Linked DNA regions of Ovis aries. The protein of the gene in region 1 interacts with the protein of each later gene in a pairwise test. Links are inferred from orthologs where the notes say so. Each region holds a gene or a part of one and is shown on either strand. Other genes may lie near its edges.

Evidence for each region.
Region 2: the proteins of PHAF1 (region 1) and BCAS3 interact in binary tests that used the Homo sapiens proteins (3 or more experiments, as listed by UniProt). The link is inferred for Ovis aries from reciprocal best matches to the Homo sapiens genes PHAF1 and BCAS3.
Region 3: the proteins of PHAF1 (region 1) and ATXN3 interact in binary tests that used the Homo sapiens proteins (3 or more experiments, as listed by UniProt). The link is inferred for Ovis aries from reciprocal best matches to the Homo sapiens genes PHAF1 and ATXN3.

Annotation. Positions count from the first base shown.
Region 1 is NC_056067.1:34,324,593-34,328,794, reverse strand, and holds the start of PHAF1 (phagosome assembly factor 1), read right to left. Parts: upstream 2,917-4,202; 5' UTR 2,677-2,916; coding exon 2,613-2,676; intron 1-2,612. UniProt on the Homo sapiens protein: Plays a regulatory role in autophagic activity. In complex with BCAS3, associates with the autophagosome formation site during both non-selective and selective autophagy.
Region 2 is NC_056064.1:12,004,522-12,008,877, forward strand, and holds the start of BCAS3 (BCAS3 microtubule associated cell migration factor), read right to left. Parts: upstream 2,828-4,356; 5' UTR 2,649-2,827; coding exon 2,591-2,648; intron 1-2,590. UniProt on the Homo sapiens protein: Plays a role in angiogenesis. Participates in the regulation of cell polarity and directional endothelial cell migration by mediating both the activation and recruitment of CDC42 and the reorganization of the actin cytoskeleton at the cell leading edge.
Region 3 is NC_056071.1:54,595,151-54,598,796, reverse strand, and holds part of ATXN3 (ataxin-3), read left to right. Parts: intron 1-2,959; coding exon 2,960-3,124; intron 3,125-3,352; coding exon 3,353-3,397; intron 3,398-3,646. UniProt on the Homo sapiens protein: Deubiquitinating enzyme involved in protein homeostasis maintenance, transcription, cytoskeleton regulation, myogenesis and degradation of misfolded chaperone substrates.

The DNA.
Region 1 (4,202 bases):
TCTTTATTAGCTATCTCTTTTTAAAGATTAATTTAAAAACAAATTTAGAGATATGTCTCCACACCAATACATTCTGTAAGTCTCATTGAAAACACTTAAGTTTGCACTGCCTTTGCTCCACCATTGGTCAAGCCAAGGTGGTACCAGCAAAAGATTCCTCTCTGCCTAGGCTTTCTTATCTCTGTGTTGTTCCCTAATCTCCTAACAGTACAAAGGTCAGGAAGGCAGCCAAAAAGCTGGATGCAGCTCCTCACTGTGATGCCAGGCAGATGAAGGCAAGAACTGGATACATCTGCATTTGCACAGATGCTAAAAAGAAACCTGGAGACTAAGCTGAGCCAATCCTCAGAAGGGCAGAGCAGTGAGAAGCAGGAAATCTCTACTAGGCTTCTTTTTATCCTTTCTACCTTTCTGAGCCTGTTCCTCACCTGGCAAATAGAGATAACCTCACAGGGTTGTGGTGACTTTAGCCTAAGAATATAATTCTAAAGCACAGATTCACTTCTTAGGCCTATCCCTACCTATCAGCCTAAATTTCAGCTTAAATGTGTTAAGGGCTGGTAAGAAGACTGAGAAAGAGGGAAAATTACTTTTTAATAAAAAGCTTAGGGAAGTTAAATGACCATCTCTCAGGCAGACATAATACAAAAATGTGGATTTTTTTGGCCATGTTGCACAGCTTGGAGCCTCTTAGGTCCCCAACCAGGGACTGAACCCCAGCCCACCGCAGTGAAAATGCCAAGTCCTAACAACTAGAAAGAAAGTGAAGTCGCTCAGTCGTGTCCGACTCTTTGCAACCCCATGGACTGTAGCCTACCAGGCTCCTCCCTCCATGGGATTCTCCAGGCAAGAGTACTGGAGTGGGTTGCCATTTCCTTCTCCAGGGGATCTTCCAGACCCAGGGATCAAATCCAGGTCTCCTGCATTCTAGGCAGACGCTTTAACCTCTGAGCCACCAGGGAAGCCCAATCACTAGATCGCCAGGGAATCTCCCCTAAGTGCAGACTTTCAAGACAGAAAAAGGAATCATCAAGGCTGATGTTCATCAGGCTTATTCCCTGTATGAGCTTTCCCTCAAAGTTCAGTTCTAGGCCCAACATACAGAAATGCTCTTTTCACTACTTGTGGTTGGTATTTAGACAGCCTGAAAGAACTACCCAAATCTTTGATTCCTAGAAACTGGAAAACTTTGGAGTAGGGGTTAAAGTATCACAACAACACTTGATAGAAGCAACCTTACTCTCCCACCTCATTTTTTGCAAATCTCAAATGATACTCTCTACTTTTGACCCAGAGACTGTACTTGTAGATACACAACCTAGTCACACCATCAAGCACAGTTTGAACCTATAGTCATAGTTTTCACTCTGCCCTGTGAAGTCCTGGGATGAGAAGCTGTGTTTAGGGGAGGTTCTTTCCTAACTAGAAGCCAAACAGCATCGGCAAAACAAATGGGCCTGGAGGCAATGATATCATTAGCCTGTCAATCAGGTTCTTGGTGCTTCGCAAGAACCTGAAGTGTTTCATCCCAGTTAAGTTATGGGAGAAGGGGGCTGCAAATTCTCAACTGGCTCCTACAACCCAGAGGCAGCTTGCTATTCAGTTCAGAGACACGAGCACCAGTAGAATTCCATTAGCAAATGTGTTCTGCAGTTTCTCACCTACCCTATCTCCATATACAGGAGTCTTCCAGATTCAAGGATAAACTATAGCCCAATGGAGCAGCTGATTCAGTCCAGTAGCCCAAATTAGTGTGACAAAAGTTCAGGCCTGCACAAACAAACAGCACAAACACCTGCTCCCCACCCCCTTTTCCCAGTGCTGGAACATAAAAGTAAACACACTCTGGGGTTACTGAATCCAAATACTAGTACACAGAAAGGTAGCGACATTGAGGAAAAGGGGAAAACATGGGCCAAATCCCACAGAATGCCCAACCTGCATTTTTACAAACCAAATGTTACTTTACTCAAACTCTTATATCATTCAACCATTCACTCTCTCCGCTAAAGTCTGGGTTTAGGATTACACCACACATCGACATTAAAAACGAGAAGGAAGCTAGTCAGCAGTTGCTTTAAAACACAAAAACTCTCCTCAGTTCCCCTGACTAGCTCCCCAGTATGTGACGATGAGAACGGTGCCTAGGTTTCTCCTTCCGGAGAGGCTACACAAGGCCCAGAAAAGCAAAGGGAGATGAACTACCGGAGCAGTATTTAAGGATGTCAGTCACTCCTTAGCTATTTGGTCTGTAAAATGGGTACAGAAGTAACAATCTTAGCGACCCTCAGGCCTCCCCGGAGGCAGCCTGATATAATCATGCACCGGAGAACAGGGTCAGGCCATGTAAACGTTTGGGGCGTGTCAGCCATTGTTATTATTATTATTGTAGCACTGCCCCGGGAGGGGCCCCGCCGAAGCCTGATGCAAAGGCGTCAGGGCCCGGCTGAGCGACAGGCTGCCAGGTCGGGGCCGGTATCTAGTGACTGGAGTCCCAAAGAGTCAAGGAGCCGCGGGTGCAGGGGAGTAAGGGGCAGAGCCCAGAGATGGGAAGGGCAGGGAAAGAAGGAAGGATCAGCGAGAAGGGTCGTGGGGGAAGACTCCACACTCACCCAGCGCGAATTCCCATTGCTCGTTTCCCAGAGAGCGCTCGGGCACCACCTCCAGATCCAGCATTGGTTCGGCTCTCCGGGCCGGGGCGGCCTCCCTGCGGCAGCGCAGACGGGACCGGAGCTTAAGAAACAAAGCAGCAGGTGACTCACCACCCCCGCCGGCCCTCGACGGCCCGGCTCTCCACCTCTATCCTGTCGCCAGCGCTACTGGCCCCACACTACACCTCACCTGACCTCACCTCACCTCACTTCACCGGCAGCAGCCTGGGGCAGCGGCGGCAGCAGGAGCGTCTGCGGCAAAAGTGGCGTGCAAGGCCGTAAAGTGTGGCGGAGGCGGGGCGAAGGCGGGATTTCAATCGCGGGGGCGGAGCTAAGGCGGAGTCACTCCCGCGCAAACACCGGATAGGCGGTTGCGACAGTCCTGCAAAAAACACAAAGGCCTGTGAGTACCTTCCGGAAGTGCGGGTGTTGGAATGAGGAGCATCACATTCCGTGCGCCCCGACATCCGCACACCACAGTGAACACGTTTCACAAAAGGGTGCGTGACCACGCAACACATACATGTAACATGGCTATACAGAGCCTCTCTGCCGTCTACATGTACGTCCCACTCACAGTCACTGAACGCAAAAGGAGTTCCGAGAGCGCACAGTCTGAGGCCCAGCGGGGAGGGAGGATGTGGAGCCTCAAAGCTCAAGCCGCCCCAGCGCCCTACCACTCCCGGTTGGGGCCGAGACTGACGGTGGCCGCAGCTGCCTCTAGTTGTCCAGAAATGATTCCTTCTCCCTGCGGCCCCTGGGGCTTGGGTTGAGCTCAAAGCAAGCGAGGAGTGGGTTCGAGTACTTGTGTTGGGGTGGGACAGGGGTGGGGAAGTTGAGGGAGCGAACTAGGTTAGAGAGTAGCTAAATAGCTGACCTCCTTCCGCTGTGCACAGTCCCGAGGGCTGCAAGCCGAAGACTGCTGGCAGCCGCTCAGACTCTGCCCGAGCACCGGCTTTGCCGCCAGCGCTGTGTGGTTTTCATCAAACCTATGGTGCTTTTTGTGCCTGTTTCCTCATTTACAAGTCGGGAGTAGGGTGTCCTCCAGCCTGTTCAGCCTGAGCTTCTGGCCAATGCCCTGGGGCACTCTAAAACTGAAAGACAACCAGGTTTCTTCTGGAGCTGACCCTTCATGGACGGAATCTCTGGATTCTCACAACCACCCTGGGATGCAAGATTGGTCCTATCTCACTTTACAGGCGAGGGGGTAGGGGGTGGGGTTGGGGGAGAGGCCCAGAGAGGCTGAAGGCCTTTTGGTTCGAGGGGGTAGAATTCAAATTCTTTCCATTATATTGCCCCTGGAGGAAAATGTTTTTAGCAGAGAGTGACATGTTGAATTCTTAAACTGGTTTGGTAGGAGTGTAACATGGGAGATTCTACCAAAACTTGAGGTCATTTCTACTGATAATAAAATAAACATGGAGAAAGCTATCCATTTGCAACATCCTATGCCAAAAGAATAAAACTGAGTCATTAAGATGTCCAGGCTTCCCTGATACCTCAGTTGGTAAAGAATCCACCTGCAGTGCAGGAGACCCCTGTTCAATTCCT
Region 2 (4,356 bases), on another chromosome or scaffold:
GTAAACTCTTTAACAGAAGGGATTGTTTGTGTTTCATTTCTATTTCCCTTAAGACTCTATTCACTAACAGGAAAAATTAGGTGTCAGAACCCCAGCAATTTATCTTACAATTTGGAGCTGGCGTTTATACTTAAGGACTTCCCAGGTAGCTCAGTGGTAAAGAATTTGCCTGCCAGTGCAGGAGAGACAGGGTTTGCTCCCTGGGGTGGGATGATCCCCTGGAGAAGGAAATGGCAACCCACTCCAGTATTCATGCCTGGGAAATTCCATGGACAAAAGAGCACGCATAGTCCATAGGGTCACACAAGAGTCAGACATGACTTACCAACACACACATACACACACATTTATACCTAAAGACACTAGAAATTAAAACTATTAATTGAAGACCAAAAATTAGTTTCATCAAGTCTTTTTTGATGCCCATGGCATAATTTATTTCCCCTTCACATGCATAAACTTGGATAAAGATTGTTTAAATCAATGAAAACTGAATCTGTAGTAACAGTTTTGAGAAGCTAAAAATTTAATATTAGGAAACATTTATTTAGCTCTATATACCAGTCATTGTAATATGTTTATCTGCATTTTACATGTGAGGACCAAGACTCGAAGATGTTAGTCCACTTACACAGTAAATGCAGGCACCGCGACAGAAGTGCGTGGTCCCTGAGCCTCAGCTTTCTGCCTGAAAAAGAGGAACCTCCAAAGAAAGGGAAAGCTCACGGAGACTCTGGAGAGGGGGCAGCTCTGGAAAGTGATTCCACTGAATACCTCAGGCATGAATCTTATCCTAATCAGCGTATCAAAGACTCTGAGAACTAAACTGGCGGACAGATCACTGCCCAGGTCCCCAGCTAGCCCCTGGGTAATACACACAAGGGACAGATAAAATTACACAACGGCAAAGGATTTGGAAAATGAATCGACTGAAACCACAACCCACGGAAGGTGTGTTAAAACATGCAGACAGGAATGGGGAGGGAACAACCTTTAAAAGAATGACCGCCACTGAAGACCCAATATAAACTAGTTAGAGCCAAGGTGGGGCCAAGATGGCGGATGGCTGACCTCCACTAGACCGTTAGCCTCAGTATGTGCTCATTGTAATACATCAGTGGGTCTTCCCAGGTGGTGCTAATGGTAAAGAGCCTGCCTGCCGATGCAGGACTCAAGAGATGCTGGTTTGATCCCTGGGTCAGGAAGATCTCTTGGAGAAGGAAATGGCAAGGCACTCCAGTATTCTTGCCTGGAAAATACCATGGACAGAGGAACCTGGTGGGCTACAGTCCACAGGGTCCCAAAGAGTCGGACACGACTGAGTGGCTGAGCACACACACGCACAGTACATCAGTGAGCTAAATGACTTGCTCAAAGACACCATGACAGTTCCGAGGCTGGCCATAAAAGGCCAGAAAGTGGGCAGTGGCCCAATTCCTGGAAATCCCTGCCCCTTCCCCAAGACAGTTGGAATAATCCTATCACTCATTACCCTATGAAATTACCCACCCTAATAAAAACTGACAACCCCCCACCTTCTGAGATGGCCCATTTTCTGTCTATGGAGTAAACCCCTGAATAAACCTTGCATTCTGCTATGACTGGCTCTTGAGTTCTTTCCCTCATGAAGCCAAGAACCCACGTTTAGCAGCCATCCCCGGGACTTGCCTGAGATGTGGCAAGTGACCATTCTCTCGTGCCCCACTTTCTTTCCTGTAACAGCACAAATTAACCAGATTGACTGCCTACTAAAACAAAAATATCAATGATCTCCATAAGAGCTAAATAAAGTGTCATAATAGTCAAGTATCTGGGATATAATCCAAAATTACATGGTAGGGGTTTCCGTGGCCCAGGGGTTGGGAGTCCACCTTGCAATGCAGGAGACAGCAGTTCAAGCCCTGGTCCGGGGTCCAGTGTACCACAGCTACTGAGCCTGTGCTCTGTAGCCTTCGAGCCACAACTACTGAGCCCATATGCGGCAACTGCTGAGCCCCACGCACTCTAGCGCTCACGCTCTGCACCAAGAGAAGCCGCCGCAATGAGAGGTCTGCACACCACAAGAGCAGCCCCTATTTGCTGCAACTAGAGAAAGCCCGTGCATAGCAATGAAGACCCAGCACAGCCAAAAGTATTTTCTAAAAATTACATGGTATACAAAGAACCAGAAAAAATCTCAATCCACATGCAAAAATTAACAGATGCCAATACTTTGATGACAAAGAATCATATCTGACACTTTAAAGCAAAATTACACAAATGCTCTTGCAAGCAATTATGAACACTCTTGACATGAATGGAAAAAAAGAGAAAATCTCAAAAAAGAGAGGATACAAAGAACAGAAAGGGTAGGGAGTCCCTGGAGAAAGAGAACCAGGCCTGGTTTTCTCGACAGAAGAGAAGCACTTTTGGCCCAAGCCATTTTGTAATCTAAGCCTGGCTGCAATGCGTGCCCTTGAACAGGTGTCAGTAACTAATGACATATAAGGAAGTAAGGGACTACAGGAACCATGGGAAAGCAGTCAATAGTTCAGTGATGAAAGAGTTCTAGTTCCTCCCCAAGGGGCGTATATAACTACCTGATACATACCCTCTGATACACTCTTTTCCGTGTCCCCCATTTCTTGTTTGTAGGAAACAGGGTTCATTCAGCCTCCTGACCTTCCCTGAGTTCCGCAGATTTAAACAGGTGGTTATTATCAGGGAAGGGAGGGGAAGCAGAACCGAAGGAGGAGCAGTCAAGAAATAACAGTGAGGCTTCGGGACAGGGTCGTGGTTCCTCCTCAAGGCATACACATTATTCTTTGAGCTCTTCAGTAGGAATGAGGCCCCACCCGGGTGGAGAATGGTATCTTAAGGGTGAGCACAAGATTCCTGGAGCCTTCTGCCTCACCACTGACCAATCAGAAGAAAGTCTGCACAGGGGAAGATAAGGAAGACACTTATCCCTCCTCCTCAAATGATTCTCCCTTTAAAAACTTTCATGGTCAAGCAGAATCTTCGGAGTTGGCTTTCGACACTAGACACTAGTCAGCCTTCTCCCAGGTTGCCGACGTCTGAATAAATCAACTTTTCATTTCCAACGAACACTCATCTCTTGAGTATGTTTTCAAGCAGCAAGCAGCAGAACCTGAGTTCGGTAACAGCAATAGCATCCTCCTGGGAGAAGAGTCTGGAGATTGAGGTAATAATTGATCATGTCTATATAATGAAGCCTCCCTGAAAATCCCTGGACTGTGGGCTTTGGAGTGCTTCCAGGTTGATTCACATACTCATGCACTAGGAGGATTCAGTTCAGTCGCTCAGTAGTGTCCGACTCTTTGCGACCCCACGGACTGCAGCACACCAGGCCTCCCTGCCCATCCCCAGCTCCCAGAGTTTACTCAAACTCATGTCCATTGAGTCAGTGATGCTATCCAACCATCTCATCCTCTGTCATCCCCTTCTCCTCCTGCCTTCAATCTTTCCCAGCATCAGGGTGCTTTCAAATGAGTCAGTTCTTCGCATCAGGTGGCCAAAGTATTAAGAGTTTCAGTTTCAGCATCAGTCCTTCCAATGAATGTTCAGGACTGATTTCCTTTAGGATGGACTGGTTGGATCTCCTTGCAGTCCAAGGAACTCTCAAGAGTCGTCTCCAACACCACAGTTCAAAAGCATCAATTCTTCAGCGCTCAGCTTTCTTTATAATCCAACTCTCACACCCATACATGACCACTGGAAAAACCATAGCCTTGACTAGACACACCCTTGTTGGCAAAGTAAGGCCTCTGCTTTTTAATATGCTGTCTAGGTCGGTCATAACTTTCTAGGAGGGTAGTGTAACCTAAATCCTTGGGACAGAACCTCCTACACTTGGGACCCTTCTGGGCTTCATCTGTTCATCTATAGCCTTTATTATATGATAAACCAGTGAACACAGTTCCCTTTGCTGTTCTAGCAAAGATTCAAACCTGAGATGGTGATTGTGGGACACTGATTTATACCAGCCAGTAAAAGTGTTCTATCTTTTTGCCTTTTCATGCTGTTCATGTGGTTCTCCAGGCAAGAACACTGGCGTGGTTTGCCATTGCCTTCTCCAATGGACCACGTTTTACTTAGACTGGAGGCTCCGTTGCTCTTGATAAACCACAACTTCCCCCAATTTAGCACCAAGACACTTGGCTATCCCAGTTCTGGAGGCCATGGAGCTGACAGAGACTCGGTAGCCAGTGCGGCCGGGTGTTCATGGCCTGGCAGGCAGCAGGGCAGGCCTGGGGGGCTTGGAAAGCAGAGGACACGGAGTGCAGGGGCCCTCAGCAGCAGCTTCTTGGCCATCATCTGGCCCAGCGGCACAGTACAGCTGGCCACGTGGGGCTG
Region 3 (3,646 bases), on another chromosome or scaffold:
ATAGACCATTTACCTGCATGCTGTAAGCCCCCTGTGTCCTCTTCCAGGATACCAAGGCTCCCTCCACCCCTGCAAGGATAACCTCTATCCTGATTTCTAACGTCATCAATTAATCAGTTTTGTCTGTTTTGAGATTTTGTAAATGGAATCATATAGAGTATACTCTTTTGAGTCTGTCTTGTGTGTGCTGCGATTCATGGGGTTGCGAAGAGTCGAACACGAGACTGAACTGAACTGTGTTTAACACTGATTGAGTTACCCATTTTGTTGCAGGTAGTTGTAGTTAACTCACTAGTATTGTTATGTTATATAGTTAATTTTCTGTTGCATAGTATGTTGTTATATAGTATTTCTTTGTGAATGTAACACAATTTAGCCATACTTCTGGGAGGAGCCTCTGAGTAGTTTCCAGTTTGGTGGCCAATATAATAGGGCTTCCTTGATGGCTCATATGGTAAAAAATCTGTCTGCAATGCAGGTAGACCCAGGTTCAATCCATGGGTCAGGAAGAGCCCCTGGAGTAGGAAATGGCAACCCACTCCGGTATTCTTGCCTGGGAGAATTCCACAGACTGAGGAGCCTGGGAGGCTACAATCCATGGGGTTACAAAGACTCGGGTGGCAACTGAGCACCTCATTGTTACACAGTGTGTTATATAGTATTTCTTTGTAAATATCACACATTTTAGCCACTGGACTATGAGGAGCATTTGGGTAGTTTCCAGTTTGGGGGCCAGTACAAATAATGCATCTATGAACATTGTTATACGTGTCTTTTGATGTACATCTGTATGCATTTCTGTTGCTTATGCTATGTACCTAATGGTGGAATTACTAGATTATAGGGTTGGTATATGTTAACTCCAGTACTCTTGCCTGGCAAATCCCATGGATGGAGGAGCCTGGTGGGCTGTAGTCCATGGGGTTGCTAAGAGTCGGACATGACTGAGTGACTTCACTTTGACTTTTCACTTTCATGCATTGGAGAAGGAAATGGCAACCCACTCCAGTGTTCTTGCCTGGAGAATCCCAGGGACGGTGGAGCCTGGTGGGCTGCTGTCTGTGGGGTCGCACAGAGTCGGACACGACTGAAGCGACTTAGCAGCAGCAGCAGCGGCAAGCTGTAGTAGATACTCCAGATAGTTTTCCAAAGTGGTTATACTAATTTACACTTTCGTCAGTAGTGTGAAACAGTTTTGATGTCTTTAATCCTCTCCAACATTTTAGTCATTCTGGAGTGTGTAGTAATAACATACTGTTAACATTAATATGCATTCCTCTCATAGGTAAATGAAGGTGAGCCCCCTTTTGTGTTTTTTAATCCATTGGCTATCCTCTTGTGAGTACTTGCTTGTCTTGCCCATTTTTGATTAGAGTATAAGTAGGACATCTGTTCAGTTCAGTTGCTCAGTCGTGTCTGACTCTTTGCGACCCCATGGACTGCAGCACGCCAGACCTCCCTGTCTATCACCAACTCCTGGAGTGTAGTTATACTCATGTCCATGAGTCGGTGATGCCATCCAGCCATCTCATCCTCTGTCATCCCCTTCTCCCACCTTCAGTCTTTCCCAGCATCAGGGTCTTTCCCTCCAACTCACATATTATTCGGTGGGCAGTGCTTTCTGGTAGTAGAAATACAGTTGAAGGAAAAAGGTGCAGACAAGTCCTCTTCTCGCTATTGTAGCCATGATTTGAGGGGTAGCTAGTGCCTTCGTTAAGTTCAAGCTGTGTATTCAGCACCAAAATAAGAAGATAAACTTGTCTCAGCCCCCTAGATCACACCCAGACTGTCTCGATGCTGCATTCCTGAATTTTGTTCCCAGAAAATGAAATCAGGAAAAAGATGTGTCTTGCATGGTGTTGGTCTTTGGGGATCTGTTGTGAGACATAGCTCAGAACAAATTGCAGGATGTCAGACAGGCTGGGTTAAAGAATAGACTTTTCTAGGGAAATGGATAACTTAGAGCATCAGGGTTATTAGCAGGAGAAGGTATTCTCCCAACTGTCATCATCCCCTGGAGTCAGTCCGGTGCTGGGTGCACAGGGAGGGACCTCATCCACCCATGAGTCTCCCTTCTCATAGGGAAACAGGAGAGCAGCATTGTTGAGGGGAGACGGGTGATACTCAGGCTACTTAGTTGAAGGTAGCCTGAGTTTAGGTTTGGGTGCCAGCAGCGTGAGAAAGCCAGTTGCCCAGTGCCTGAAGACCCTGGGGCTTGTAGAAAGTTGTATTCTTCCCACCCTCATAACAGGAAGCCAGCGATCCCTTGGAGACCCAAGCTGGGATGCATGCGGTCTCCTTGCTGCCTTGTTTAGAAGTGAGCTCCAAGCATGATTTTCTGGACAGTATTGCTCACTACACCACAGTGTGTGCCTTATCTTTCTTTAAGAGAGCCTCATTTTTGTAGCTACACGTCTCCATAAACATGGAACAGAATTTGTCTTACTGTGTCAGTTCTTGAGATTCATCTGTTCATGGATTTGAAACTCCATGAACGAACATTTAAATGTACTCATTAAATGGAGTACATAAACATCCCATGAATGACCATTTAAATCTTGTTGAAAGAACAAATGTTCTAGGGATTAAATGTTCTTTTCAGCATTAGTAATTTACCATGGAATCTCCAAAAGTGAAGTTATTTTAGCTACTGAAAATGAGGGAGGCTAAATGTTTATTGTAGAGTAATTTTTAGTAAAATATGAGATTTTATATAGATGATTTTTGTTTAATATAAATCATTAAGTTTGACCATATAACTGATCATATAATTATAGTTTCATTATAAAATAAATGTTAGCAAATGAAAATGCCCATACCTGGGTTATTCATGCTTTCTAAAGCTAAAAATGTTTGGTTTGGCTGTGTTAGGAAGTTAATGATTACATATCTTTGGAGAAGATACTGTACAAATCTGTTTTACAAATCACATTTGAATTTTTTCTTTTGGAAATATTAGCAAGAAGGCTCACTTTGTGCTCAACACTGCTTGAATAACCTACTACAAGGAGAATACTTCAGCCCTGTGGAATTGTCTTCAATTGCACATCAGCTAGATGAGGAAGAGAGGATGAGAATGGCGGAAGGAGGAGTTACTAGTGAAGACTATCGCACATTTTTGCAGGTACCAATTTTAAACTCACTAAATCACACTTCTTAAAAAATGTGGGTACTGTTTAGAAAGGGATGAGCTGCTCTTCCAATGGGGATCTGACTTGTTAATTATAACCCAGCTCTCGGCTTTGTAGACGGGAATGCACAAGATGTTATTTTAAATGCACACACTAATGACACTTTGCCCTTCTCTCCCCACCCTCAATCTCTGCCCCAACCACCTCTCCAAATTCAACAGCAGCCTTCTGGAAATATGGATGACAGTGGCTTTTTCTCTATTCAAGTAAGTAGTCACAAGCATGTGCTAAGTGTTGTTTATATCCCAGGCAGTAAACTCAGGATATGCTTTTCACAGCCTTTCAAAGTCACCTATTGATGTGACCTTCAGAAGTTCCTCCAGTAGGTTGAGTATAAGAGTATAAGATTATCCTTTAGAATACTAGTTTTCTATATAGCTACACATGAAAATTAGGACAGTAGATTCTTCATTTTAGAGAAGGCCTTTTTCAAAGGAGGTTGTTAATTTGAATCT